Pelodiscus sinensis: one gene and its partners. The protein of the gene in region 4 purifies or fractionates together with the protein of the main gene of each other region. This does not show direct contact. Links are inferred from orthologs where the notes say so. Each region holds a gene or a part of one and is shown on either strand. Other genes may lie near its edges. The genes, in order: ARFGAP1, PPP6R2, MTMR3 and AURKA.

Evidence for each region.
Region 1: the proteins of AURKA (region 4) and ARFGAP1 purify together in Homo sapiens (affinity purification with mass spectrometry; 3 studies listed by BioGRID and IntAct, counting the BioPlex papers as one, with this or other methods). This does not show direct contact. The link is inferred for Pelodiscus sinensis from reciprocal best matches to the Homo sapiens genes AURKA and ARFGAP1.
Region 2: the proteins of AURKA (region 4) and PPP6R2 purify together in Homo sapiens (affinity purification with mass spectrometry; 4 studies listed by BioGRID and IntAct, counting the BioPlex papers as one, with this or other methods). This does not show direct contact. The link is inferred for Pelodiscus sinensis from reciprocal best matches to the Homo sapiens genes AURKA and PPP6R2.
Region 3: the proteins of AURKA (region 4) and MTMR3 purify together in Homo sapiens (affinity purification with mass spectrometry; 3 studies listed by BioGRID and IntAct, counting the BioPlex papers as one, with this or other methods). This does not show direct contact. The link is inferred for Pelodiscus sinensis from reciprocal best matches to the Homo sapiens genes AURKA and MTMR3.

What each region holds. Positions count from the first base shown.
Region 1 is NC_134728.1:6,522,989-6,530,357, forward strand, and holds the start of ARFGAP1 (ADP-ribosylation factor GTPase-activating protein 1), read right to left. Parts: upstream 3,013-7,369; 5' UTR 2,867-3,012; intron 1-2,866. UniProt on the Homo sapiens protein: GTPase-activating protein (GAP) for the ADP ribosylation factor 1 (ARF1). Involved in membrane trafficking and /or vesicle transport.
Region 2 is NC_134711.1:649,361-656,828, reverse strand, and holds the start of PPP6R2 (serine/threonine-protein phosphatase 6 regulatory subunit 2), read right to left. Parts: upstream 3,015-7,468; 5' UTR 2,858-3,014; intron 1-2,857. UniProt on the Homo sapiens protein: Regulatory subunit of protein phosphatase 6 (PP6). May function as a scaffolding PP6 subunit. Involved in the PP6-mediated dephosphorylation of NFKBIE opposing its degradation in response to TNF-alpha.
Region 3 is NW_027465935.1:199,480-206,923, reverse strand, and holds the start of MTMR3 (phosphatidylinositol-3,5-bisphosphate 3-phosphatase MTMR3), read right to left. Parts: upstream 3,011-7,444; 5' UTR 1,383-3,010; intron 1-1,382. UniProt on the Homo sapiens protein: Lipid phosphatase that specifically dephosphorylates the D-3 position of phosphatidylinositol 3-phosphate and phosphatidylinositol 3,5-bisphosphate, generating phosphatidylinositol and phosphatidylinositol 5-phosphate.
Region 4 is NC_134728.1:15,105,994-15,113,972, reverse strand, and holds the start of AURKA (aurora kinase A), read right to left. Parts: upstream 3,015-7,979; 5' UTR 2,655-3,014; intron 2,628-2,654; exon of another isoform or gene 2,541-2,627; intron 2,244-2,540; exon of another isoform or gene 1,941-2,243; intron 1,783-1,940; 5' UTR 1,778-1,782; coding exon 1,724-1,777; intron 1-1,723. Other genes in the region: CSTF1 (cleavage stimulation factor subunit 1), read left to right, coding at 4,128-4,274. UniProt on the Homo sapiens protein: Mitotic serine/threonine kinase that contributes to the regulation of cell cycle progression.

The DNA of each region.
Region 1 (7,369 bases), about 8.6 Mb from region 4:
TCCACCTGGCTGGCAAAAAGCAGAGGACCCAAGTGCAGAAAGAACTTCAGTTCCTGATTCAGATAACATAGCTCCAGAGTGAGAGTCCATTACTCAAGAGAAAGCATTGCAGTGAAAGTTGTGACTGCCATGATCACACCAACTTTATAGTGCTATAGAAGTCATGCATGTTCACAGCAGTTCTGAGAGATAGACAAGTACATCCATTGTACAGATGGGGAAAGCGAGGCAGAAAAAGGTTAAGTGAATTAACCAGGGCTAGTGAGAGACCTATTGAAGCACCATTAGAATTCTAAAGTCCCTGGCTCCCAGTTCTGTGTTCAGACTATCTCCCCCTCCAGTATCCCTAGTGATCAAGACTCCCTCAGTGTTTATTTTCCTATGTGAATGTTTTTTCAATTATGGATTCATCTGTTCCAAGCATCACAACGTCATTAAAGTCAACCTAGAACTATAACAGAACTCTGACCTTCCATTATCTGGCTGTCTGTACTGATAATCAGTGCACAAAGGTCCAGAAGGGGGCAGTCTTTCTTGTGGCTACTACCTGGCACTGCAGCATTAGACTTTCCCATTCTTCAGTTTATCTGGATTGCTGATTATCCAATCAGGTCTCAGTCCCAATTAGATTGGATAAATGGGGTTCTGCGGTAGGCAAAAGCATGAGTTTTCAAAGTTGGGTCACAGGCCTGCGCAGGTAAGTCGCTGCTGAGCTGTGAGATATTTTGTTTATCTTAGCATCCATAGGCACAGAGCCTTGCAGCTCCCATTGGCTTTGGATCACTATTTGCAGCCACGGGGAGCTGTGCGCGTTGGGCTGCTGCTTTCCGCAGCTCCCCTTGACTGGAAACGGCAAAAGTCAATGGGAGCTACAAGGCTCCATGCTTATGGACACTAAAAAAAACAAAACATCTCGTGGCCTGCCAGCAACTTATGCGGATGGGCCCACAACCCAACTTTGAAAACCCCTGATCTACGAGTTAAGCCACAACCAATAGTAATACCCTAAGAGCTGGTTTTTTACATACACATTTACAGATACTGGTCATCTTTCAGAACTCAGCTGAGGAAACTGGCAAAGACAATTAAAATGTGTTATTTTGTTTGGAAGTTGGGCTCCCTAGGGCTTTTGCTACACTTCAAAGGCAGAGACACGCTATCGACTAATCAAATAGTCGATGTAAAATGCATCGACTAATCAATTAGTCAATATTTAACATCCCTATTAGAAATAATAAAACTAAAATTTCTCTCTGCCATCATCTTCCAGGCTAGTGTGTTTGCTTTTTCACCACAGTGGCCAGAAGTAGAATGCCTCAGCCCCAGCCCAGGCTGCCTTGGGAGATGGGAGTCAGAGCAGGCTGCTGTGTAGTTCTGCTTTTCCGCAGCTCGCACTGCTATGGTGAATGAGGGGGGCTCCAACCACCGCTGACAACACTGGCCCACTCAGGCCCCACAGACTAACCTGAGTATTGGGGACCATCCTGTCCACAGAATGGTTGGAGTGACCATCACAGGACCCCACCAAAGTGCAAGGCCTGGGAAGACCACCCCGAATCATCCTAATGATGGGACAACTCTTCGCATATCTCCCTCAAGCCACAGGGAATTGACAGCAGTGGCTCAGAGTGGTGGTGCTACCCTTCCCCCAAGGGGGCTCTTAAATTGCCTTGGGGCAGCAGGTGGGAAAACACAGGGGAGCGCAGGGGCCAGCAGACGGGGGAGGGTGAAGAACACATGGACAAACACACACGCCCAGGCCCGGTCAGAGAGGGGTACCCGCTGGCTCACTAGGAGGCTTTAAGGACAGGCCCTGGCCCGAAGGTAAATTGAGTTTGAGCCCCCTGCTGTACACCCAGATCCAACCCATTGAAGACGGTATCAGCACGTGGCCAGATTCGTAATGAGGATGGAGGCTTCGCCCCAGGAGGTTTCGGGGAGGGGGGAGCAGAAGAGTAAGGCTCTTCACAGGCGCAGGGGAGAGTCTCACTGGACCAGGGCTGCCTTTTTTTTTTTTTTTGGACCACATGATTTTAACCTTTCTGCCTTTCCAGGGCAAGATCAAACCATCAAGTGGGGGCGGGGGGGGGGAATGCAACTACCGGGGGGGTGATCCGGGCCCCACCTGCACGGATGGCTGGTCATGGGGGGGGGGCTGATCCGGGCCCCACCTGCACGGATGGCTGGTCGGGGAGGGGGGGGGGCTGATCCGGGCCCCCCCTGCACGGATGGCTGGTCCGGGGAGGGGGGGGGGCTGATCCGGGCCCCCCCTGCACGGATGGCTGGTCCGGGGAGGGGGGGGGCTGATCCGGGCCCCCCCTGCACGGATGGCTGGTCGGGGGGGGGGGGAGGGGCTGATCCGGGCCCCCCCTGCACGGATGGCTGGTCGGGGGGGGGGAGGGGCTGATCCGGGCCCCCCCTGCACGGATGGCTGGTCGGGGGGGGGGAGGGGCTGATCCGGGCCCCCCCTGCACGGATGGCTGGTCGGGGGGGGGGAGGGGCTGATCCGGGCCCCCCCTGCACGGATGGCTGGTCGGGGGGGGGGAGGGGCTGATCCGGGCCCCCCCTGCACGGATGGCTGGTCCGGGGGGGGCTCCCAAGGGCCAGGCGGGTCCCAGCGAAGGGACACGCCCCGGCGGCAGTGAGACCGGCCGGCAAGGACCTCACGTCCGGGGCTGCCTCGACCGACCCAGGGCTCGGGGGGGCTGGGGGGGGGTTGCAGCGGCTGCCGTCTCGCCCCGCCGGGGAGCCCCCCACCAGGCCCGAGGACAGGGGGAGGGGCGGTCAAGGCCCAGAGGAGCCCGCGGGGGGGGGGGGGGGCGCTGAGGGAAGTCGGGGCCGGAGGGGGGAGGGGCCGGCTCGGTACCTGCTGCGGCGGCCCCGGCTCCTGCTCGCACCCGGCTCCTCAGCGCGCAGCCGCCGCCGAACCCGGCGACGTTGCACGTTCGCAAAGCATGCTGGGCCGGGGAGAAGGGGTTAACCCCCTCGGGCCCGGCGGCCTGCGCGGCAGCTGGGCGGGGCCGTCGGACGCCCGAGAGCGACCGACGCGGCGGCTCCAGTGAGCCAACGACAGGGCCCGACGCTGCCCTCAGCGGGACTCGCCCCGCCCCCCTCCGCACTAGGAGCCCGCCCAGAGACTCCGCCCCTGGGGAGTTTGTCTGCACTGCAGCGCTATTGCGGGGGGGGGGTCCCCAATAGCTATTCACGTCCCCAAGGGGGGGTCCCCAGTAGCTAATGACGTTACTTGGGGGGGTCCCCAATAGCTATTCACGTCACTGGGGGGGTCCCCAATAGCTATTCACGTCCCCAAGGGGGGGTCCCCAGTAGCTATTCACGTCACTGGGGGGGGTCCCCAATAGCTATTCACGTCACTTGGGCTGTGTCTCGACTGCAGGGTTTTTTCGAACAAAGTCGCCTTTTTTTGAAAAAACTTCCCCTGCGTCTAGACTACAGCCGCGTTCTTTCGAAATTAAAAATCAATGTCTGGATGCTCTCTTTCGAAAAAGAGACGCCTGTTTGCAGTCAAGGACGCCTCTTTTCGAAATCGGCTTTTCTTTCGACGGCGGTACGCCTCATTTCACGAGGAAGAACGCCTTTTTTCGAAAGGGCTCTTTCAAAAAAAGGTGCTATGTAAGGCAAACTGCTTTTTCGAAAGAGAGCATCCAGCCTACCTGGGTACTCTCTTTCGAAAAAGCAGTTTGCTTTTTCGGAAGTACTGATTGTAGTCTAGATGCTCTTTATCGAAAGAAGCTTTTTCGAAAGTATCTTTCGAAACAGCCTCTTTCGAAAGAGGCTTGCAGTCTAGACGTAGCCTAAGAGACGCAGCTTGCATCGCTCAAATTGCGTAGCTCATTTCGACCTGCGGTGCAGTGTAGATGCACCAGTAGCATGGGGGCCACTGACGGACAGAAAAATCAGTCAGAGCCACACACAAGTGAAAAACAAAAAACGAGCCCCCACTGATGTGGCCCCCAACAGAGGAGAAAGATATTCTGCACATTCCCCCTTGCTCACCAGAGCCTAAGGGACCCCAGATTAGTAGATTTTGTGTGGTGAGGCAGCAAGGCGGCTGGAGCACCAGTGCAGGCTTCCCATTGCTGGGGGGTTCTGGGCCTGAGGTTCCCCACCCCGGCCACAGAGACCATATGCTACTCATTTTCAGTGCTATACCTGTTCCAGCCTTGATAGTAAATGGTCTATTGTCCTGCCATGGTTATATGGGGGATTAACAAGAATAACTCTTTTTACTATTAATGGTGGCTACATGCATAATCCTTGCCTTACATTAAAGAGAAAATAATGGACTCCAAATATGTGTACATTGGAGGCGGGCAATGAAACAAAGTAAATTCTACGGGCTCGTCTACATTGGCCCCTTTTCCGGAAGGGGCATGTTAATTTCAGAGATCGCAATAGGGAAATCCGCGGGGGATTTAAATATCCCCCGCGGCATTTAAATAAAAATGTCCGCCGCTTTTTTCCAGCTTTTAGAAAAGCCGGAAAAGAGCGTCTACACTGGCCCCGATCCTCCGGAAAAAAAGCCCTTTTCTGGAGGATCTTATTCCTACTTTGAAGCCGGAAAAAAGCGGCGGACATTTTTATTTAAATGCCGCGGGGGATATTTAAATCCCCTGCGGATTTCCCTATTGCGATCTCTGAAATTAACATGCCCCTTCCGGAAAAGGGGCCAGTGTAGACGTAGCCTATCTGTATAATTTGCTTTTCCAGTTAAGGACAAAGTGACTTCTTCTGATAAGTACCATTATTTTCTGGTAATATGAACTAATATGAAATGAGGTTCCCATTATATACACACTATATGAGAATCTAATTAGCGTATCAATCATACTTTTTCTATAATTGATTTAGGGCACAGTGGTTGGTATCAGCATTGATTCTGCAGTGTGTCTGATAGGTTTATTTTGCATATTCAATACTTTATGCTTGCAGCCTCAAGGGAGCACTGTTGTGCAACATTTATTCATATGCCACAAATGATGCAGCACTGAGGTATTAATACTGTCTCTATTCTTGGTTAATATACCAAAGAGGAACATTCTAACACTGTCTGGGCAGCATAATCTTCCAGTGGCAGCCTTGGCTGACTGAATCAAAATTGCCACTAATAATGTGGGAGCATATTAATGCATTGCTTGCTCTTTTACAGAAGATATAAGTTATGAATTGCATGGAACAATAAATAGATCTAGATGCTTACATTTGCACCATGTGGTAGCAATATTGCAACCCTTCCTAACATGAAAGAAGTCTTCACTCACACAATAAATCAGAAATAGGAGTAAGTACTTGTGTGAGGATTACAGGATCAGGGCCTTTCATTCAGTGGTAATGAGACAAAGCCAGCACTGGCTACGTCTATACGAGTTTTTCCAGCAGAAAATATGCTAATGAGGGCAGGGCCGGCTCAAGCCATTCCTGCTCCTCCAGCAGCGGGCGCGTGATACATGCGCGGCTCAAACCCCGGGCACACGGCACATGCACGGTCCCGCCCCCCAGCGCACTGTGCACCTTACAGCTGCAATCGGGCACGTGGTGCCTGATTGCAGCTCTAAGGGGCGCCGCGCGGTGCCCCTTATAGCTGCCATCAGGCGCCCCCCATAGGTTGGCGTCCTGGGCAGCTGCCCGGCTAACCCCCCCTTAATCCGGTCCTGAATGAGGGACTCATTAGCATAAAGCGTGATCTAATTTGCATTTTTTCTGCCAATCCATTTTTTCGCTAGGGGTTTTTGCGCAAAAACAAGCAGTGTGGCCATTTCCTTCATGCACAAAAACCCTTTTTTACGCAAGATCAGTATACCTCTTTTTTTTGAGGCATAAGGATCTTGTACAAAAAGGGGTTTTTGCACAAAAAGAAAACATCCACACAGTTTATTTTTGTGCAAAAACCCCTAGCAAAAAAATGGATTGGCAGAAAATATGTAAATGAGATCACGGCTTATGCTAATGAGTCCCTTATTAGCATATTTTCTGCTGCAAAAACTTGTAGTGTAGATGTAGCACTATGTCTCTCATACACAGCATACAAATGAATCAATGCAGTTCCCTAGCAAGTTTGAATTGCTCTGTTCCTCGAATCTGGGACAGGTACATAACCCCATTGCCATCTCTGAAATTGGAGACAGATATCTGTAGTGTGGGAGTAAGCAAACATTTTAAATATTAACATCTAGGACTCAGAAAAAAAAAGTCAAATTCTATCTTTCTTGGTTGACTGGCTACTAGTTGGACTTCAAATATGTATTTGGGTATTGTACAAGGGTATTTAGGCTTGAGGTAGATCTTGGATTGCACTTAAATTCAAAAAGTGATTTCATGCTTTAAAAGGTTGGAGACCACTGGCTTAAACTGAAAGGGAACAAGTGAGTATGTGGTCCCTCTTTTTAACATGTTTACGTAACTCAGGCTTTGTCTACACTACGAGGTTTTTGCGGCAGAGAGTATGCTAATGATCGACTCATTAGCATGAGTCGCAATGTCATTAGCAAATTTTCTGCCAATGCTTTTCGCACAAGGGGTTTTTGCGCAAAAATAAGCAGTGTAGCTGCTTCCATTTTGCGCAAAAAACCCTTTTGTGCAAGATTCCGGAGAGGCATAAGGATTTTGCGCAAAAGGGGGTTTTTTTTGCACAAAATGGAAGTGGCTACACTGCTTATTTTTGCGCAAAAATAACCTTTGCGCAAAAAGCATTGGCAGAAAATATGCTAATGACATCGCGACTCATGCTAATTAATCCATCATTAGCATACTCTCTGTCACAAAAACTTGTAGTGTAGACATTGCCTCAATGTAGTAAATCCAAGGACTGATCAGATGGGGAGATTTGCAATAAATGTTATCATTCAGTTTCTGCATTGTAATTAATTATAACTTATGTAGCAATAATAATAAAATCCTAACAACGAAACCTGGCACATTTTTAGCTTTCTGTATCTCTTCAATAACCTCCAAGTGCCACTGGTGGGAAATGTGATAAGACCTGGAGCTTTTTGCTCTACACTGCACCCTCTGATTTCCTAATGGCACTTCTTAGAAATAAAACACTCCTACTCCACGAGTGGTTAACTATAAGGTCGTTTACACTAAGCTGGCCTGCTTCTGGGAAGAAGGCATCTTAGAAAGCATTCCACGATGACTTCTCCCAAAATAAATATATTAATTAGAGTGGTTTTGTCTGTGTTTTCAAAAGTGCTGTACTTGTTATTGACACTTAATGCTATAGTTAATTATAGTAAGCACTTTTGGTCCTAATCCTGCAAAGACTTAACACAGTTAAATCTAGACATTCCAGCAGTCTTAATTATTTTCCCTGGGTTACTCATTTGTGTAAGTCTTTGCAGGAGTGGGACCT
Region 2 (7,468 bases), on a different chromosome or scaffold from region 4:
AGGGGATCACAGGTCTCACAAGGAGCCAACTTGGGGAGTACATGGGGAGACTCAGGAAGCAGACACACTGATGAGTACATGGTGAGGCAGGCAAGCTCAGGGTACCACAGGAAGGCAAGCAGGAGGTGGGGGGGACTGATGTTTCCATGGAGAGGGCTCATGGATGTTGGGAGAGTGAAGCACATCTAGATCCACAGGCATCTCTATGGGGGGCTCAGATATATCCAGAGAGAGGGAGCTCAAGAGGGCAGGCACATTGGATAAAGGGGGCCTCACGTGCTTCATGAGGCTAGAGGGCAGACACTATGGGGGAGAGCTCATGATGGCTCAGATTCCCAGGGGAGGGAGGACAACACACACTTTGGAGCAGGTCCATCCAGGGATGTAGACACCTCAACTGGGAGGAGGGCTTAGTCACCTCAGGGGAGGCCCATGGTGATAGGCACACCCAAAGGAGGAAGACACCTGGTAAGGGAGCTCACAGGGCAGGCACACTGGGGGCTAGAGGCATCACCGGGAGCTCAGACAGCTCCGGGGCAGGTAATGGGAGAAGGGTCAAACAGCTTTGGGAGTTAAGGGGGCACAAAAAGCTCCAGGTGCACTGGGAGGGGGTGTCAGACAGCTCTGAGAGGTATGGGGGGGCACTGCCAGCTCCAGGGAGGCACTGGGGGGGGCATCAGACAGCTCCAGGGAGCACTGGGGGGGTGCTGGGAGTGTCAGACAGCTCAGGGGCGCTGGGGAGGAGCACAGGGGGGCAGACAGCTCGGGGTGCTGGGGGGTCAGGCAGCTCAGGGGGGCACTGGAGGGGGGGATCAGACAGCTGGGGAAGTGTTGGGAGGTCAGACAGCTCAGGGGGCCCTCAGTGGATCACGCAGCTTGGGGGCAGGCCTCGGGGGCGCTGAGGGCTCGGAGCGCGGGGGGGCACTGGGGGCTCAGGGAGTTCGGGGGGCTCGGGGGGCAGGCTCCTGGGGGACTCGGGGGCGCTGCTGGCAGGGAGCTCGGGAGGTTCGGGGGGGCAGGCCCGGAGGGGGTCGGGGGGCAGGGGGCTGGGCGGGGCAGGGAGCTCAGGGGGGGCAGGCCCGGGGGGTACTCGGGGAGGCAGGCTCTCGGGGGTGCTGCCAGCAGGGAGCTCGGGGCGGGCTCGGGGGGGTCAAGCTCGAGGGGCCAGCCCGGGGGGGGGCTCTCGGGGGCGCTGCCGGCAGGGAGCTCGGGGGGGGGACCCGGGGGGGCTCTCGGGGGTTCGGGGGGGCAGGCCCGGGGGGGCTGGGGGCTGGGGGGGCTCTCGGGGGCGCTGCTGGCAGGGAGCTCAGGGGGGGCTCTCGGGGGTTCGGGGGGGCAGGCCCGGGGGGCTGGGGGGGCTCTCGGGGGCGCTGCCGGCAGGGAGCTCGGGGGGGCCCGATGGGGGCGGGACCGGGGGGCTCTCGGGAGGGGATCAGGCCCGGGAGGTTTGGGGGGGCTCTCGGGGGCGCTGCCGGCAGGGAGCTCGGGGGGGTTCGGGGGGGCAGGCCCGGAGGGGCCCGGGGGGGACTCTCGGGGGCGCTGCCGGCAGGGAGCTCGGGGCGGGCTCGGGGGGGGTCAAGCTCGAGGGGCCAGCCCGGGGGGGGGCTCTCGGGGGCGCTGCCGGCAGGGAGCTCGGGGGGGGGACCCGGGGGGGCTCTCGGGGGTTCGGGGGGGCAGGCCCGGGGGGGCTGGGGGCTGGGGGGGCTCTCGGGGGCGCTGCTGGCAGGGAGCTCAGGGGGGGCTCTCGGGGGTTCGGGGGGGCAGGCCCGGGGGGCTGGGGGGGCTCTCGGGGGCGCTGCCGGCAGGGAGCTCGGGGGGGCCCGATGGGGGCGGGACCGGGGGGCTCTCGGGAGGGGATCAGGCCCGGGGGGTTTGGGGGGGCTCTCGGGGGCGCTGCCGGCAGGGAGCTCGGGGGGGTTCGGGGGGGCAGGCCCGGAGGGGCCCGGGGGGGACTCTCGGGGGCGCTGCCGGCAGGGAGCTCGGGGGGGTTCGGGGGGGCAGGCCCGGGGGGGCCCGGGGGGGACTTTCGGGGGCGCTGCCGGCAGGGAGCTCGGGGGGGTTCGGGGGGGCGGGCCCGGGGGGGCTCTCGGGGGCGCTGCCGGCAGGGAGCTCGGGGGGGTTCGGGGGGGCAGGCCCGGGGGGGCCCGGGGGGCCCGGGGGGGCGCTGCCGGCAGGGAGCTCGGGGGGGTTCGGGGGGGCAGGCCCGGGGGGGGCCCGGGGGGGCTGGGGGGCGCTGCCGGCAGGGAGCTCGCGGGGGTTCGGGGGGGGTGGGGGGGGGCTCTCGGGGGCGCTGCCGGCAGGGAGCTCGGGGGGGGTTCGGCGGGGCCCGGGGGGGGGCTCTCGGGGGCGCTGCCGGCAGGGAGCTCGGGGGGGTTCGGGGGGGCAGGCCCGGGGGGGCCCGGGGGGGCGCTGCCGGCAGGAAGCTCGGGGGGGTTCGGGGGGGCAGGCCCGGGGGGGGCCCGGGGGGGCTGGGGGGCGCTGCCGGCAGGGAGCTCGCGGGGGTTCGGGGGGGGGTGGGGGGGGCTCTCGGGGGCGCTGCCGGCAGGGAGCTCGGGGGGGGTTCGGCGGGGCCCGGGGGGGGCTCTCGGGGGCGCTGCCGGCAGGGAGCTCGGGGGGGTTCGGGGGGGGCAGGCCCGGGGGGGCCCGGGGGGGCGCTGCCGGCAGGGAGCTCGGGGGGGTTCGGGGGGGCAGGCCCGGGGGGGGCCCGGGGGGGCTGGGGGGCGCTGCCGGCAGGGAGCTCGGGAGGTTCGGGGGGGCAGGCCCGGGGGGCCCGGGGGGGCTGGGGGGCGCTGCCGGCAGGGAGCCGGGCGCGCGGCGGCTCCGTCCCCAGGGACCCCGGGCTCGGCCGCGCTCTCACCTGCTCGGGGCCTCCCCGCGCGGCCCGAGGCGCGGCCGCTCCCCGGCTGCAGAGGCGCGAGGGGCGGCGGCGGGTCGCGCTGTCACCGGGCGCCGGGCTGAGGGCTCGGACGCCTCAGGCTCGCTCGCTCCAAAATGGCGGCGGGAGCGGCCTGCCCAGACCCGGGAAGGGGGCGGGCCTGCCGCGCGGAGTGGGCGGGGCCAATGGAGTGACAGGCACGTGAAGCCGCTGGGCAGCTCCAGGGTAGGAGCAGGGGGAAGGTTCCATGGGCATGGGGAGGGGAGATGGGACGGTTCCATGGGGTGGGGGAAGGTTCCATGGATATGGGGAGGGGAGATGGGAAGGTCCCATGGGCGGGAGGGGGAAGGTTCCATGGGCATGGGGAGGGGAGATGGGAAGGTCCCATGGGCGGGAGGGGGAAGGTTCCATGGACATGGGGAGGGGAGCTGGGAAGGTCCCATGGGCGGGAGGGGGAAGGTTCCATGGGCATGGGGAAGGGAGATGGGAAGGTCCCATGGGAGGGGAGATGGGAAGGTCCCATGGGCATGGGGAGGGGAGATGGGAAGGTCCCATGGGCGGGAGGGGGAAGGTTCCATGGGCATGGGGAGGGGAGATGGGAAGGTCCCATGGGCGGGAGGGGGAAGGTTCCATGGACATGGGGAGGGGAGATGGGAAGGTCCCATGGGCGGGAGGGGGAAGGTTCCATGGGCATGGGGAAGGGAGATGGGAAGGTCCCATGGGCGGGAGGGGGAAGGTTCCATGGGCATGGGGAGGGGAGATGGGAAGGTCCCATGGGCATGGGGAGGGGAGATGGGAAGGTCCCATGGGCGGGAGGGGGAAGGTTCCATGGGCATGGGGAAGGGAGATGGGAAGGTTCCATGAGGAGGATGGGAAGGTTCCGTGGCGGGTGGGAATGGCATTTGGCGTGGGGGAGAATGGCTACTTATACTATGGGTACTTATGTTCTTAAGTTTGGTGAAAGACCTGGTATAAATATTGATTGACTCCCTGTATCCATGTGCTTGTTAACACCCTTAAAGAATCCTAATAGATTAGTGAGGCATGATTTCCCTTAGAAAAGCCACATTGGCTCTTTCCCCACAAAACACATTATTGATTGGTCTGATCATTTTGTTTTTACCATAGTTTCTACCAGTTGCTGGGTACTGACCAGCGCCCCCTCAGCCCCCAAAAAAACCATGATTTCTCTTCTACCATCCTTAGGGAGGAGGGCTGGGACAACCCTCACCTCTACCCCAGGCCTCACTCCTGCTCCGCTCTTTCCCGCCCTGATCCACCCCCATCCCGCCTGTAATTGCCAGGATGTTCTCTGAAGCTCTTTTTAAAAATCAGTTCAACTGCCCTCTACATGCCAGCCTGGTACAAGAAAATGATTACTTGGAATTTGAAAAATGTCACATTGGACCATTTCCCATAGTCTCTCAGTGTGTCTTGTCTTCCCTTTGCCTGTCTTATTTAGGCCTTCATCCTGCAAATACTTTCAGTCTTAATGTTCAGCATTTGTGTTATTTCATGGAAGTCTAAAGGGCTACTCACATAAATAAAGTTACTCACATGCAAGTCTTTGCAGGTTTGGAGATGATGGCCAAATCTTCAGGTAGGGTTGCCAGATGGTTTAACAAAAAATACCGAACATCTCCCCCCTCCCCGCAAAAAAACAAAACAAAACACCAGGAAAAATTCCGTTGAGAAAAAAAAGGGGGAAACCAAAGTTGTTAAGAAAAAAAAAAGGGGCACCACGACTTTAAATGGCCCTGTGCTCCTAACTCCCCGGCCCCCACCAGACACTGCAGGGGAAAATTGTCCCCGCCGGGCTTCTGTCCGAGGGAAACAGGAAATACTGGACAGTTCACATGTCCAGTATTTTCTGGTTTTTTAACCGGACGGGGGACCCAAATAACGGACAGTCTGGGTGAAAACCGGACACCTGGCAACCCTGTCTTCAGGAGAAAAGATTTTTTCCAGTAACACTAAACCGGCATACACCCCTAATGTAGGCACAGTTTATACAGGCAAAAAAGTGTTTTTGGTAGTATAATGTATACAGTATAAGGGTGGTTTTACTAGTAGAACTCTATCCACACTAGGACTTTTGCAAATATAGGCTTATTACACACACACACACACACACACACACACACACACAATTCCTAATTGGTGTTACTACACCTGCAAATGTTTCCAGTAGACCTGGAGTTAGTCTGTAAGCTCTTTAAGGCAGGGCCTCTTCGATGACTTTTAAACAGGATACTGGGAATCATTAAGAAGGGGATAGAGAATAAGACAGTGAATATTTTATTGCCTCTCTTTTAATCTATGGAACACTCACGTCTTGAATACCGCGTACCGATGTGGTCGCCTCCTCTCAAAAAAGATACATCGGCATTGGAAAAAGTTCAGAAAAGGGCAACATAAAAATATTAGGGGTATGGAATGACTGCCATCTGAGGAGAGATTAGTGAGAGCTTTGGTGAGGTCAGCCCCCAAATACGCTTAAGTTCTGCAGGACCTTAAGTGCAAAAATATGGTCAGAATTTGGGAACTTCATAGGAATAAAACTCTGGACCCGTGGTTCTTAGATACCTCAGGAAAACTGAACTCTGGCAGGCCTCGTCCTCTAGTCTAGAGTTTGGGAGCTTACTTACCTTCTCTGCAGACCAGAAGTTCTCTGCATCTCTCTGCCACAGAATTCCTAAATGTCACAGGCCCAGAACACTTGGGAAGCCCAAGTAAAAGCTCTACAACAACCAAGTGAAATACTCCGGGGCCAAGCCTCAGATCATCAGAACCCGTCAAAAAGTTAAGAAATATCAATGTTAAGATTGAATGCCAAAGCCTGCCTCGGTTACCATGTGTATGCTTTCTGGTGCAGTCTTTAACCATGAGGTCACAAGTTTTCCCAGACGATACAATATTACAATACAACCTTTAATTTGTTGAGTCTAGGATCTCAGATACACATGCATCTCAGATTGCAGAAAAATTGTATTATGGCACTGAATTTCTCCCTGGACAACTAAATAGGCTAAGTTACCGAGGAGACAAATGAAGCAAAAATTTAAAAGGAATTTAAGATCATTTAAATCTGTTTATTTGTAGAGAAAGGGCTTGAGAAGTCCGATTAAGAATATTAAAGTGGAGTCCATGTGAACCAAAAAGACCAGCGAATTCAGCCAAATAGTTTTCCCCTTCTATAAAATGCCTTCAAGGAATCAAGGAAATTCGTACAGCTGTCACCACCACACATACATTTTATCTGGGCAAGTGTTTGCCAAAAAGATTAAGTAAGAATGGTAGTGATAGGTCTAGGAACCTCTGAGAAGCAAACAATAGGCAGAAGACATACTAAAGAAATGTGCACTGTCATTTCAAAGAGGAACAATAATGGGCACAAGGCCAGCACAGATCCTGGGTGAGCTCCAGATGTCTCCCTTGACAATTACATCTTCCAAGACTCAGATTACAGGGCAGACGAACAGTCAAGCTCAGATTTAAAGCTTAACAATCAGTATCTTGGACAGACACATAGGAGGGAAAGGACACCAAATATAGTTTGTATTGGTAAAGGGATTTCTCTCTATCTGGACAAATACAATAGTCTGTTAGAATCATAGAATCATAGAATAAAAGGACTGGAAGGGACCTCGAGAGGTCATCGAGTCCAGCCCCCCGCCCTCAAGGCAGGACCAAGCTCTGTCTACACCATCCCTGACAGATGTCTATCTAACCTGTCCTTAAATATCTCCAGAGAGGGAGATTCCACCACCTCCCTTGGCAATTTATTCCAATATTTGACCACCCTGACAGTTAGGAATTTTTTTCTAATGTCCAATCTAAACCTCCCCTGCTGCACTTTAAGCCCATTACTCCTTGTCCTGTCCTCAGAAACCAAGAGGAACAAATTTTCGCCTTCCTCCTTGTGACACCCTTTTAGATATTTGAAAACCGCTATCATGTCCCCCCTTAATCTTCTTTTTTCCAAACTAAACAAGCCCAGTTCATGAAGCCTGGCTTCATAGGTCATGTTCTCTAAACCTTTAATCATTCTTGTCGCTCTTCTCTGTACCCTTTCCAATTTCTCCACATCTTTCTTGAAATGTGGCGCCCAGAACTGGACACAGTACTCCAGCTGAGGCCTAACTAGTGCAGAGTAGAGCGGCAGAATGACTTCACGAGTTTTGCTTACAACACACCTGTTGATACAACCTAGAATCATATTTGCTTTTTTTGCAACAGCATCACACTGTTGACTCATATTCAACTTGTGGTCCACTATGACCCCTAGATCCCTTTCCGCCATGCTCCTTCCTAGACAGTCGCTTCCCATCTTGTATGTATGGAACTGATTGTTCCTTCCTAAGTGGAGCACTTTGCATTTCTCTTTATTAAACCTCATCCTGTTTACCTCTGACCATTTCTCTAACCTGCTAAGGTCATTTTGAATTATGTCCCTATCCTCCAAAGAAGTCGCAACCCCACCCAGTTTGGTATCATCTGCAAACTTAATAAGCGTACTCTCTATCCCAATATCTACATCTGTTAAATGATTTTAATGCAGTTTCTAGTCACTGGGCCAGATTCTGCTCCATA
Region 3 (7,444 bases), on a different chromosome or scaffold from region 4:
AGTGCAGAGCAAAGCGGAAGAATGACTTCTTCTGTCTTGCTCACAACACTCCTTTTAACGCAGCCCAGAATCACGTCGGCTTTTTTTGCAAAAACGTCACACTGTTGACTCATATTTAGCTTGTGGTCCCCTCTGCCCCCCCCTATGGATCCCTTTCTATAGGACTCCTTCATAGACAGTCACTTCCCATTCCCTGGAAGTATACTGGAACAGGATACTGAACTCCGAGAGGCTCTGGGAGACAGACCCATAGTCTCCTATAGACAACCACCTAACCTCAAGATGATTCTTACCAACAACCACAGGACATACCACAGTAATACCAACCCTGGTACCTTCCCTTGCAACAAACCCCGTTGCCAACTTTTGTCCACATATTCACTCTGCTGATACCATTATTGGACCTAACCAAGTGAGTTATAAGATCAAGAACACATATTCCTGAGCATCCAGAAATATAATTTAAGCAATCATGTGCCGAAAGTGTCCGTCTGCTATGTACATTGGACAAACGTCTCAGACACTTCGCCAAAGGATCAATGCCCACAAAACAGATATTAGACAGGATCACAAAGAAAAAACAGTTTCTTGCCATTTCAACCAGAAAGGACATTGTCTCAACGACTTGATTACCTGCATCCTGCTTCAAAGGCCTTTTAAGACTTCACTTGAAAGAGAATCCTCTGAACTGTCATTCATGCTTAAATTCGACACTTTACACTCAAGTTTGAATAAAGACGCTAATTATCTTACCCATTATAAAGATAGCTTCCCCAATTATCACTTCTAATATCATTAGCTCACGGACATTTACCTCCCCCCCCCATCCCCTTCTGTTCTGAAATTTGATTTGTCCTTTTTATGTGTGTTCATTTTTTTAATTGTATCCTTTGGTATATATGATTGTGACAATTTTCTTCCACTATTTGATCTGAGGAAGTGGGTCTGGCCCACGAAAGCTCATCACCTATTAAACCATCTTGTTAGTCTTTAAAGTGCTACATAGTCCTGTTTTTTGTTTCAGCTACACCAGACTAACACGGCTACATTTCTATCGCTATTCCCATTCCCTATGTGTGAAACAGATTGTTCCTTTCTAAGTGGAACACTCTGCATTTGTACTTATTAAACTTCATCCTGTTTACCTCCGACCGTTCCTCCAGTTTGTCCAGATCAGTTTGAATTATAACCCTCTCCTCCAAAGCAGTTGCAACCCCTCCCAGCTGGGGATCATCTGCACACTTAATAAGCGTAATAAACTTAATAAGCTTAATAGCAGCCTTCAGGGATAAAAGACCACATTTGTTCGGCCAGCAAATTTGCGAAGACTCACGGCACAGCAGCTGCATGACACTTTCAATAAGATCTGTGAGGCAGATTACCGTGAAGTAATAGAAGCAACGACACTCTGTTCACCATCTGACCGCCCCTGTGCTGGTAGCTGCAACACACAGAACCAAGCTTCTTTGCGGTAGGCGTTTCGCAATTCCTTCACTTCGGGCTTGCTCTATAGTGCATCTCGGTCATGGCTCCTTTCAGTCATGCATCTTGACATGTGCCCGGAGGTATCAATCCCTACAGCTGGCGTGCAGCTGGGACTGGACGGCCTCCTCTCCCCAAACGCTGATGAGGTCCAGCACCTCAGCCTGGCTGCAAGTAGGGGATCTCCTGGTTCATGAAGCAGGCCTGGCCAGCTGGGAAGATGCACTGAGAACACACCATGCACTGCCGATCAAACAGGAAGGGGACTTTCAAATTTCAAAAAGACCGTAAAAGCACAGGTCTGAGGGTTGGTCATCTGACAGCAGGGCAATAGAGCACAAACAGATGACCAGAGAGGTAAGAACAGGCATTGTGGGAAAGGGGTCTGATGCCAGTCCAACGCAGTACTATACCATGGAGAGGAGAGATACACCCCCCAGCAGGGAGATACCATTGCTGGGGGAGAGAGGTGTCTCTCCTGGCAATCGCAGCCCTAATTCCTGCAACAGGGAGTACTAGGCAGCTGCACAGCTAAGAGGGGACATTAGCGTCAACCCACAACGGTAGTTGTTAGGCGGCTGCGCAGTCGTGGGAACTATGGTCATAACCCACTTTGATGTCCCGATCCAGCGTTTGAGAATTGCTGATACCGAAAAATAAAAGATCAACAGGCTGAGCAGAGTCAGAAGTCCTTTACAACGGGACTCTTGTTTTGCTGAATGTGCTATTTGAAGATAAAAGGGTTAGGAGTTTCACGGGCAAGTTTCATTCGGTTTAAAATATCAACCTGAGCATTTCCTGAAGGCAAAGTTCAGAGAGGAGAAAGACAGCGATATAACGAACCAGGCTTAAGAGGCGTTTCGGGATCAGCTTGCTACTACAAATAGCACGATGACATGGTAAGCAAAGATCAGAGTTTGGAATGGTGCCTTTTCGGGGCATGGAGCGAAAGGGTGGACGAAAGTAACCTCTGCAGTCCATACATTGGCCATGAGCTGGGGAAAATTCTCTACTGTAAGCCTTCTCAACACCTCATCGAAAAACTGCCTCTCCAGTCATGCAAACACAAGCAGGAACTGCCGGAGCAGCCCCTACCGCCGCCTGTCCATAGCAGGTGGGGAGTTCCTCCAGGTCCAACATAATTAAGTAAGAACACTAGATCCAATACAATTAAGTCAGAGTTTCTTCTATTATGCATCATACTTGCTTCCCAACTTTCATGCAGTTACATCTACGCAAACCTATTTATGGCAATCAGATTGGAAAAATGTCACTGAGAACAGCATCATATTTATCACACTTCTTTACTACTTTTTTAAACAGCAGGTCTGCTTCGTTTTCCTGGAAAAGGGACATTTTGTTGAACCGTGAAGCGTTAGAAGTTTGTGGCATATGAACGGAGCCAGATTTAACTTCCCACACAACTCCAGTTCAGATGTTTTTACTGGGGAAGCCCTTCTCTTGTTTCACAATGCTAAGAAATTCAGTATCACAGGTGGTTGTATAAGCAGTGGTCTCCAACCTTTTTACACCCAAAAATCACTTTTTAAATGACAGACCAAGCCAAGATCTACCGCCCCGCCCCTTCCCTCTCTATTCTCCTCCTCTCCATCACTTGCTATCCCCAATCCTTATACTGCTACTTTAAAAAAAAATTCCCACCATTCCTCGCAGCTACTCACCTGTGCTGTTGCTCGGTGAGTGGGAAAACTAATGTAAATGTACTGCGCAGGCGCGCAGTTCAGAGAGGGCTAAAGAGCTACTCTTAGAGCCTCCGAGATCTACCGGTAGATCGCGATCTACTGGTTGGTGACCACGGCTGTATGGGATGCAGCTTTTTACAAAAAGGAGAGATCTGAAACACAAGGGAAGCCCAAAGCAACATGAACCATGGAGAACTTAACTCAACGGAGGAGTATATTTCCCAGCGTCAGTTCTTTCCTCCAGTTCGAATGTATTATGTTGTTGGAAAAAAAAGTTCTCCAGCACTGTGTGAACTAAACAAACATGCCGAAATCATGTGATAATCCTTTCATACTCCGATGCAAGCAATAAAGATTCCAATCCAAAAAGGGAAAGGGGGAGGGAGAAGCACCACACAAATAAACTACTGTACAACACAGCCCCATGTACCAAAACTATAACCCACAAACCAAAACCTACAAGCAACGTCAGTGGGCAGACCGGCAAAATGTTTACCTTGCCCTCGCCAAAGACACGCTACTAAGACTCTCTCCAAAATGAAAAGGCGCATTATCTTCCTGTGGGAGTTAGTCCAATAAAGAAGGTTCACTGAATACAGACAAAAGGGATAATTGAATTATAATGGGTATCCAACCAGAATATAATGACCCATTGACTTGAATTTGCTGTCACCAGCAGTATGAACAGCAGTGGCGACAGAGAAAATTCAGAACCTTCCCACAAATATGCTATTTGCTCAGAGCAGGGGTGGGCAATCATTTTGGAAAGGGGGCAGGGGAGGTCCACTCCGAGAATTTGGAAAGTGGTTGAGGGCCACACTCTTCCATGATATTAATGGAGGGAGTGTGGGGTGCCGGATGAAGGTTAGGTGGAAAAGGGAGCAAATTTGAGTGACGGAGGCAAGTGAGACCTAGGGCACTGGAGTGGGGAGCAGGGGTTGGATTGTGATCTACGGCAAGGAATTGGAGTACAGGGGTTAGGGTTGTGAGCTAGGGCAGGGAATTGAGGTACAGGAGGGGGTACAGGGGTTTGGGCTGTGAGCTAGGGCAGGAGGGGACTGATCTGGGGCAGGGGATTGAGGTGCTGGATATGAGAGGGGGTATGGGTGCAGAGGATTTGGGTATGTGGAATGGGGGGGCAGAGGGAAGATCTGGCCAGGAGACTTACCAGCCAGCAGCCCTTTTCTGAATCCGCGTCCCTGCCTACCCCGCCTCCACACAGGCTGCAGCCACGTGCTCTGCGAATAACTACAACCCCCTTGTGCTTCGTGGCTGCCTGTTATTAAAAAGGCATTTCCCCATTGGCCAGTTTCTGGCTAGAAGCCGGCCAGTGAGATTGTGCTGGGGGCGGGAACAGCTCCTTTCAGTTTTTAAAGTGAAACCTGCCCACAGCCAATTCTGAGCAACGGGTGGGGTCCACAGGCCAGATCCGGTGACTTGGTGGGCCGGCCCCGGCCCGAGGGCCGTATTTTGCCCAGGCCTGACTTAGAGTCATGACAAAAACCCTAGAATCATAGAACCATAGAGCTGGAAGAGACCTCAGAAGGTCATCAAGTCCAGCCCCCTGCTCTAGGCAGGACCAATCCCAACTAAATCAACCCAGCCAGGGCTTGGTCAAGCCGAGACTTAAACACTTCTAGGGATGGAGACTCCACTACTTCCCTAGGGAACCCATTCCAGTGCTTCACCACCCGCCTAGTGAAATAGTTTTTCCTAATATCCAACCTGGACCTCTCCCACCACAACTTGAGACCATTGCTCCTTGTTCTGCCGTCTGTCACTACTGAGAACTGCCTCTCTCCATCCTCTTTGGAACCTCCCTTCAGGAAGTTGAAGGCTGCTATCAAATCCCCCCTCACTCTTCTCTTCTGCAGACTAAACAGACCCAACTCCCTCGGCCTCTCCTCGTAGGTCATGTGCTCCAGCCCCCGAATCATTTTGGTTGCCCTCCGCTGGCCCCTCGCCAATGCGTCCACATCCTTTTTGTAGCGGGGGGCCCAGAACTGGACACAATACTCCAGATGTGGCCTACATTGCACCATCAAACTAAAACACAAAAACCCAACATGCCAAGAGATTTCAGAGTGCTTGCATGTGTCATTACATGGACTGCTCCCTTCTGTAGTGCTGTTTATCTTCACATGTGGCCGGGGGAGGGATGTAAATCAAACTATTTTAAAAACACAAGTTCAACCAGTTGAGTCAAGTTAAATTTCTTGCCTAAGTACTAGAGTGAGCACAACAGCCCTGCATACCCTAGTTAGCTACACAGAAAACGAGGGCTTCTGTTCTGTTGGGAGAGTTACCGTTCAGCTGAGAAACCCTGCTGTTGCTGGGATAATTTTCCCCTTCTGACGCCAATCAGGGAAGAACTTTTCAGCAAAGCCGCCTTTGGGACACAGTGGGTACAGCTGAACCCAGTGACCTTCGTCTTTGCATCAATGGATTTTCAAGAGAGTCGTCTCGGGTCCTCCTTATTTAGCCCAGGGTTGCTTTTCCTTGTTCGATATACAAGTAGGTTATTCGGATGACACTCAGCTCATTAACAGAGTAACGGTACTGAACGTATTCCAAAGGGAACAGCATGTGCTGGACATACTATACCGGAGCTAATATTATTAGCTGTCCACACGGATTTGTTACTGTGTGTGAATGAAGAGGTCTCAATCTTACACTTGATCAGATAAATGCCCCCAAATAAATTTACAACCAGGCTGGTAGAGGTATGCGGTGCCTCACCTCTCTAAGTTTCAATGAGCAGGGCTCGACAAATTAGTTAATCAACTCGCCCGTGGCGAGTAGATTTCAGCCAGTCGCCCCATTTACCGGCGGCGCGTGCATGCGCAATGCGGGTCTTGCACATGTGCAGTGTGGGGCTGGCGAGTAGACTTCACTGCAGTTTGTCAAGCCCTGTCAATGAGGGTACATCTACACTATAAGGGGGTGTCTAGACTACATGCCTCCATCAACGGAGGCATGTAGATTAGACAGATCGGCAGAGGGAAATGAAGCCGCGATTTAAATAATCGCGGCTTCATTTAAATTTAAATGGCTGCCCCGCTCTGCCGATCAGATGTTTGTCGGCAGATCGGGGCAGTCTGGACGCGCCGCTGTCGACAAAGAAGCCTTTGTTGATCAGCGCAGGTATGCCTCGTGAAACCAGGTTTACCTGCACCGATCGACAAAGGCTTCCTTGTCGACCGCGGTGCGTCCAGACTACCCAATCTGCTGATCAGCTGTTTGTCGGCTCAGCGCGGCAACCATTTACGTTTAAATAAAGCGGTGATTATTTAAATCTACGCTTCATTTCCCTTTTTCAAATAAACTAATCTACATGTCTCCGTCGACGGAGGCATGTAGTATAGACGTACCCCAAGAGCTGTGTATCTACACTGCAAGAGAGCTTCCAGAATAGCATATTTCAAAAGAGAGCATCCATACTACAGGGATGCCTCAAAATTAGTCCGAGGTGGGCTCCCCTATATTGGATGCGCTCTCTCGATTTAGAGCCCCAGGAGGCACTGGGGAGGAGCTATTTTGACAGAGCAGCAGTAGAGCGTCCACAAACATCCTTTTCCGAAAAAGCTTTTTTGGAAGAGGCTTTATTCCGCGTAGAATGAGGTTTACCAACGTCGAAAAAAGCCCTCCGTTATTTCAATTTTCTTTCAAAAAAACGCAATTGCTGTGTGGATGCTAGGATTGTTTTTCCCAGAATAATGGTCGTTTTCCCGGAAAATCGGTGCAGCATAGACGCACCGAGTCGCAACAGCTTTGCCAATTCCCACAATGAACACAGATGTCATGGGCACGCTCCTAGATCCAGAGCCACCTCACACGTTTCAAGCAGTTGTCTCCAACCTTTTTATGTGCAGGAGCAGCCCCTGCCTGCGAGGTGGGGGGGCGGAGGGGCCAGGGTACACAGGCCACAGAAAAGCCACACACACACGTTGATTATTGACAAGGTTATAAAAAGGCCTGGAAGACAGATTGGAGGTGGGGGAAGATTCCAACTAACTGAAAAGGTTTTTTCCTATTGCAGTGCGACTTATGCACCCTTACGGAGGAGGAAAGGTCTTCAAATCACTCTTTGGGACAAGGAACTCGGGCACGGAGGTAGGGGGAGAACGTGGAACAGTGACAAACAAGGTCAAAGCAGAAGAGGATGTAACTGATGGGAGAACTAATAAGAGGTTGTTCAAGATGAACGTGATTATACAATACAGGAGGCAAAGGCAAAAGTGAGGGGAGAGAAGAAGGCC
Region 4 (7,979 bases):
CTCCTGACCCCAGTGCTGCTGCCTCTCAGAGAAGCAGCAGTGGGCAGCGTGAGGGGGCAAGTGGAAGCCTATATACATGGGAAGCGGGATTTTAAGCCAGCTTCCCACACGGATTGACTCTCACACGCCACTTGCCACAGGATGGTGGGCAGGTGGGAGCTGGCCTATCAGAGGCAGCAGCATCAATGGGAAAGGGGAAACTGCTTCTAGGGATGCTGGCATAGCCTCTGTCCAGAGGTAGCTCAGACCCCCAATAGCAGGGTGGCAGGGGGCTCCCTGGGAGTGGGGCCAGGAGCGCACTGGCTGCCAGTCCTGCCCCCAGGGACTGTTAAAATTTGATGCGGTTACATGACTATTCAATTAATCACTAACATCCCTAGGGGCAACACAAGAAAAAAAACGTTTTAAATCCACTGATCTAGACCACCCTTACAGGTATTTGTCTATCCTATTCTTAAAAACCTCTGACAAATTCCACAACCTCCAATAAGCAATTTATTACAGAATTCATCTACTCTTACAGTTAGGAAGTTTATCCTAATATCTAACCTAAAATCTCCCTTGCTTCAATTTAAATCTACTACTTCTTATCCTGTCCTCAGTGGATAAGGAGAACAATTTTATCCTCCTCATTCTAACAACCTTTCATGCACTTAAATGCTTATATTCCCTCTCTTCTCTAGACCAGTGATTTTTAAAAACTTTTTCTTGTGACCCAGTTGAAGAAAATGATTGATGCTTGTAACCCAACAAAGTTTGACTAAAGTGCCAGCTCCTACGTGGGGCCAAGGATTTGGGGTACAGAAGTGAGCTGGGTTTGGAGGAAGGGGCACAGGGTTACCTATGACAGCTCCTAGTCAGCAAGCAGCCACAGTGGGGGTGCTAAGGCAGGCTTCTTGCCTGTCCTGGAACTGCACATCACACCGCACCCAGAAGATGCCGGCACAGGCCCGGCTCCTAGGCAGGCAAGCATACTGCTCTTGCCCACAGACAACATTGCCCCACCCTGAGCTCTTGGTCAATGGAAGTGCAGAGCCAGTGTTTTTGGTGGGGGGCAGTATTCATAACCTAGTGGTCCTCTGCCTAGGAGCCAGATCTGCTGATGGCTGCTTCCAGGGCACAGTGCAGTACCAGGACAGGCAGGAAGCCAGCTTTAGTTCCCCTCCCACCCCCACTAGTCATCCTACAGCAAGGGGACCCAGTGCCTGACATTCAGTGGCCCAATACTGGATTGCAACTGGTAGTCTGAAAACCACTGCTCTAGACTAAAAAGAAGCCCTTTTTATTGTAGTATGGTGCTCAGAACTGAACACAATACTTCAGCCAGATCTTATCAATGTTGAGTGGGGTGGAAGAATTACATCTCGTGTCTTGAAATTTTTTTTTTAAATAGTGTAACAGCACTTTAAAGACTAACAAAACATGTAGATCTTGTGTCTTGTTTGGAACATTCCCACCAATACATCCCAGAATGGATTAAGCTGCCACCCCACAAGAAAACGTTTTAACACCTACGACATGTGAAAGCAATCTATATATAGAAGCTTTACAAGTTGTATTCACAATAGTGAGCTACTGACAAAGCAGCTTGGTGAATATTCCATGTCAGAGTATAATGCTTCAATACAAGAGTTGGATAATTATCTCAGATAATTTGTAGAATCTTTGTCTGATCATACCAAATAAAATGTGTTTGCCTCGCAAGTGTACAAGACTTCTTTACCTTAACACTGTGACCAGGAAGCCCATTGTGGTTCTCTTTACCATTTTTCTCCATGTTACCTAAATAGAGAACATTTAATTGCAGAGACATTATTAAATGGAAATTTTTATAAACAGAGCACCCTTCTTGTCACCCCCTACACTTCTTCCTCATGCCCCCCACCCCCTTACGTTCTGCTATCCTCATCCACACCACCACATCCAGTTTTCACACTCACGCTACTGGTAGTCTCCCACATCCGGTCCTGCTCAATCGCCTCTCGTTACCACCGGGAGAGTAGATGATGATGGTTCCCAGCCGCCAGAAAAATCCGAGTCTAGGAACCCCGTGTCCATTTCAGCTGCTCTTCCTCCTCGTACAACCCCCCGTCCCTGGATCCTGCCCCTCAAATCCAGCTCCTCGGACAACCCTCTCCCCCATTACAAGGCGTCACCTCCCCGCAGCTCCTGCTCACAAACTGCCTCAAAGGCAACTGCACAGGCCTCACAATTCCCCTTCTGCTGCAACGTTCGCCCACCTGCAGGAAACTCCCCGCCTGGGAAACCCTCCCTCGCTGCACCCCCTCCATAAACTGACCCCCCCCCCCGCTGCACCCCCTCCATAAACTGACCCCCCCGCTGCAACCCCTCCATAAACTCACCCTCTCCCCATCTGAGAAGCCCCCCCCCGCTGCAACCCCCCCAACTCACTCCCCCCCCACTCGAGAAGCCCCCGAACGCGGCCGCAATCGTACAGCCCCCAGGAAGCCCCGTTCCCCTCCGTCCCTACACTACAGCCCCCGAGGCGACCCCATCCCCAGCGCCCGAGGTCTCCTCACCGTCACCGCCGTCAGAGCAGTTTGAATTCAAACCGCCCTCCTAGCGATACCCTTTAAACCGCCGCCGCTCTCCATTGGCCCGACCAGCGCCCCGCCTCTGCTCCCCAGTCTCACCTCCCTCGCCGCGCAGCGTTGCCGGACACTAAACGCTGCTCGCCCCTGGCAGTGCTGCTGCACCACGGATGAAGCGTGTAGTCTCCAGTCACCCCCTGGGCAGGGCGGGATCCGGCTTCTGCTCAGCACTTTACCGCCTGTAACTAACTTAGCTCTCCCCCCGCACACACCGCGTAGTAGCGGTGAATAGCCCGTACAACAGATAATTAAACGATCGGCTGATGGAGATTTGGGTTTTTTTTTTGTTTAAGGTGCCCGCCCGCGGAGGCCCCCGACTGGTCTCGCTCAGCCACGTGAACACAAAGCGGCCTGTTACTCCAATCTGCTATTTTTAAAATTCAGATACATGATTGGCCTCCCCATCCCACGTGACCAGGGCCGCGGCCATTGGCTAACTTGAAGGGCGGGAAAAATCTTTGTGGAAGCGACGTGCTTGCGAGCTCACGCCCGCGCGGGGGTGGAGCTTCTTTTCAAAATGGTCGCCACGCTTCCCTCGCTGAGGGTCAGTTGGAAGCAACCATTTTAAAAAGACAACCCCCACACACACCAAACTTGGCAACTTCCACCCTCCCCCAAAATAAACCCTAGCGCGGGAAAACTGCAAGTCCAAATCCGCTGCTAGTAACTGCGTGGACAGGAGCTGGGCTGGAGAGACGCGATTTGCGTAAAGACCGAGCACGCGGTGATTGTGTAAAGTAAACTCCGTAACGGGCGCCTCCATCTACGAAACTAGCGGAAGAAGCGAGCGGCAACTGCTGCGTAAAGCACGCACGTCGCGTTAAACCCACCCTAGGGACTGCAAGGCGCGGCAGGCCGTGGGCACGCCTGCGCTCGAGCCGTGCCCGTGACGTGGGGACAGGCTCGCTCGGCGACCAGAGGCACGCTTCGGAACCAATCGGCGGGCGGCGCGGTTGAAGCGTAGCCAATCAGTGGCTCCTGGCCGGCCATTACGGCCCGGCGCAGAGAGCGTGCGCGGCGCGGCTGAGGGTGGAGACAGGGAAGGCTGCGCTAGACGGTGCTTAGACCCCCTGCTCTGGGGAGAGGGGCGGCTGTTGCCTTACGAGCGTGTCGCACCCGTGGCCGGGGACGTGGGATCCGTGGCCGTCGCGCGGGGACGTCAGGGGGTCACTGGGCAGCGTGTCGCGCCAGCGGTGACGTGCGGCCAGTGACGGGGCCCAGGGGGCTGTGAAGCGCAAACGCGAAGGAGACGCGGAGCCATCGTGTCGCACCGGCGGGGCCGTGGGCGCTCGAGCACCGACGCCAGCGGGCCGTTGGGCAGTGTCGTTGTACTTAGCGGTGAGGCGGCTCCCCTAGGACCGGGGCTGTCAAGGGGCCCTCGATCCATTGTGCGATCCGGCCTGAGGACAACGTGAGGCCTTTGGAGGCGTGTGCTCCAAGGCAGCTCCCCTTGCCCCCGCGCTCGTGAGGACAAGCGTGATTGTGGTCTCGGTGTGTGGCGCTGACGAGTGATCGATGGCGGCGAGGCCAGGTGTGAGGAGGCTGTCAGGCCGTCGCCTTCCCTCCGCCTGTGAAAGACGCCTGCTTCCCCGAGGCCTGAATAACGTGGGCCCCCTACCTCCTGAGCCACGGCCACTGCGGCTGCCTTTTCTAGAGGCTGAGGTGAGTTGGACCGCCTGTGGGGTGGGGTGGGGTGGGAGCTGTTCTTTTGGGATAGGCCCTCAGCTGATGCCCCCTGAAGTGCCTTGTCTGAAAGTGCCATCCTATTGTCGACTAAATTCTGCAGTCATCTTAGAGGCCTGGCTTCCTGCAAGGCTTGGGATGTGGGTGGCACATTGGCGATGTCATGCAGTATCCCTAGGCTTTCTAGTCTAGACCCAATAAAACGTAGCAGTTCTCCTGTCCAGTCTCCTGAGATCAAGCTGCTCTCACTCCATCAAAATAGGAATTGAACTCAAGGAGTTCTGAATTTCAACTACAGATCCTACTAGGCTCTTTAATCCCTTTCTAATGTCTGACCAGAAATCACCATTGATCTCTGCTCCTTTATCATTCCTTAGCGTACCATGCCTTGATTATTACATCCCACGTTTCCTACCACTGGAAATAAATTAGTTGTATTCTTCTGGACTAAACTTCTGTTGTTAGAATTCCCTGTGCTTCCAGATCAGGACTAGAGCCTGCCTTTCCATGCTGCTAGGGGTCTGTATATGCCCACATTTTTGTGATGCCCATGGGTTAAGACACCCAGCAGGTGATAGTGGACCCTTGGTTGTTCAGCATGTACTCCCTTGTTCATAGTACAGTTTACTGCGGATACCACTTACTGCCATCTAGGTATTCTGTTATTGCACTGTGGCTCCCTCTATACTTCTCCACCTTCTCGTCCAAAGTAGCATATTATGACTGAGGGGAGCACTCCCATCACAGTGTGCTACCTCTAATTCTTCCCATTCTCTGGTCCACAGAAAAAAGTTGTGATGGGAGTGCTCCCATCTATCATATGTAACCAGAATTGTTTACAAATCAACATAATATGTCACCAGAATTGCTTACTTCTGCCTTTTGCATGGCAGCATTTTTAGAAACAGAATTATTTTTGTGACTTTATCTAAATGTACATTAAAATTGAACACTTAATCATTTGTATTTTGACTGTATAACTGTAAAAAAAATCTATTTTAAAATTATACAGTATATCCACTTTGTAAATATCACAACTATAATTGCACAAAGTTTATATACTCTTTCTTTTTACTGCTTAGGGTGTTTGTAGTGGAACACAGAGGGCACCTGCCCACCTCTTGCAGGAGTCACACTGTGCCTTTGAAATATAATATAATAAATGGAAAAAATGACACTAAACATTGTGCCAAATATAATTTCAATTAATTCAGAATTGTAAAATATTTCACAAATGTCTGCTGTGATTTTTAACTTTCTGGTAAATATACCACTATTTGCTGCAGTTCAAGTATTGGTTGATGTAGAATTATTACCACAATTCTGATCTTTATCCAAGTTATTCCATCTGTTCTATGTGCAACTGTCTAGATACTGGGCCATAACTTCTGTTCTTGTGCAATGAACAATTTTCTATTTACTTTCCTGCTCAAACGTATGGTGTGTATTTCTAATACAATTTTGTGTTTCTAACATTATGCAATCTTAATTTTCCTTCTTGCATATGATAAGGTTCCAGCAATAGGCTTTTGTACTCTGCAAAATCAATACAATTTAATCAAATGATTTCCTAATTACAAAAACTGTACATAAAAGTAGATTGATTAATGTTACTTTTTATTTCAAGAACTGTATTAATGACTTACAAATATTTTGGGGGACATATTTAAATAATAGTTGGTACCCTCATCTGCTTGCCTTAAACTGTTTGATGCTTGCAGATTTAACTCTATCCTACTTATTACAGTGTTATTTTGGATTCTATCATGTTTTTCATTTTTCACTAATTAAACGCAATATTCAGAATTCATACAGAAGAACTCAGTTTCTTTCATTAGGGTACCATACTTGTGACCTATTTTAATGTACTGGAGTAAATGTGATCTAACATTCCACTCTTCATGTTTACTTTACCATATACTCTGACTTCACTAGGAATATGTAACAAAGCTATGCCTAATTTAGATTTCTTGTGTAGTTTTCACATCAGTGATGTCTTTATTAGCTTATAGAAATATATTTGGAACATAAACTTTTAAAATAGAAAACTTGCCACAATTAAGAAGTAATCAGAATTTGACATTAAATACTTTTGGGATGAGTGGCCCAACTGTTGTTTCCATCCAATAGGATCTTGTGTTCCACAACTTTGTTTTCCAGAAGTCACACAGTAGATTTTTCCAGTTTCTAAGTGAACAAAGAATCTTAACTTTAAAATGAGTAGCAAATAGCTGACTTAATAAGCAGATTTCATTTTTTCTTAGTCTCAATGTTTAGTATGGTTTACTTTATTTAATGAATGCTTGGAATCAGCGCATGCACACACATGGTTTTGTGTTAGGTAGTAGATGCACACTTTATCAGAATCTTGTGCAACAGTAAGGATGAGGACAGATATGTCTTGTTACTGTTTTATCCTTCACTATCAGGAACCTTCTTTCCTTGCTGTAGCTAATTGACAATAGCACCCCATTAACACTGCTTAATGACTACAAAAATAAGCATTTTAAAATAATAATCTTCTAGCTTATGGGAGAAGGGAATAGGGAGATGAGGTGAGACCTTCCAACCCATCTTATGTCAACCAACCTCTTCTAGAGCTTGGCTCTCATCAGGGAAATACATCTGGGCAGTGGGGGCTAACCATATAGATACTAATATAGACACAGGGACAGACACACCACTGGTGGGAGCTGGGACCCGCAGTTTCCAGCTCACCAGGAGGGGGAGCTACAGATTCTAAGGGTGAGGGGAAGAGGGCAATTGATACCTCTCTAGATGGGCTTGGAGGCCTTTAAGATTTTTTGCTTGTACATGGGAAAGGAGTATTCTTCCAGCCCCCTATAGCTTCCATGGACCTTTCTTCCTCCTCACCTAAGCTTCTCAAACCCTGTCCTTCCCAACCAGACCCATTTATCCCTTCTCCTTTGATCTAACTCAAACTCTCTGCTCTTATTCCCATCTACTCTCCTACCCTCTCATGTTTCCCTGGGAGTAATCGCATGTGTATTTTTTTTTCTTTAAAAAATAATCCACACCTACAGACTGTTCTGCTATACTCAGATTACATTTCCACGGAATCAAAGCTCCCTTTTGACAGAGTCAGATTGGAGCAAATTGCGCCTATTGCTTTTATTTCAGATTTCTCTGGTGGGTTAGATTTGCCATGAGGCTGTGGCTTATGTTTGGTCATCATAATAGTCCTCCATGAGCCATTCAAGACTTTAGTCGTGGGGTGGGGTGGGGATGAAGTAGAGGTAATTTCCAGTTAGCCTTTCTGTACACAGGCTCAGTATAATCCATGTGGTATGACATTAAGTACTTCAAAGAGTGGTGTGTAGTACAGGAAAATTAAAGAAAAGGATAGTGGGTACCAGGCACTGTGTTGAGATAGCTGTCAAGCATTTGAGAGACTGGTGTGAAGATCTCTGTCTATGATCAAACATCCTTACATGAATATTAATAAAAGAGGGATGAGGGACGATGAGGGGTGGTATCTTGTGAACTGCTTAATACTGCCCCAATTACTGCCCAGGAGACGCACAGTTTCAAGCCGATCTAAGAAAGGCAGGGGAAACTAAAGTTTTGATGCCAACCTATCATATAAGTCTCTTAGTCATTTGATCCAAAAGAATAAGTTTGTGCAACCTCCCCCTCAAAACTGTAAAATCACAGTAAAAATAT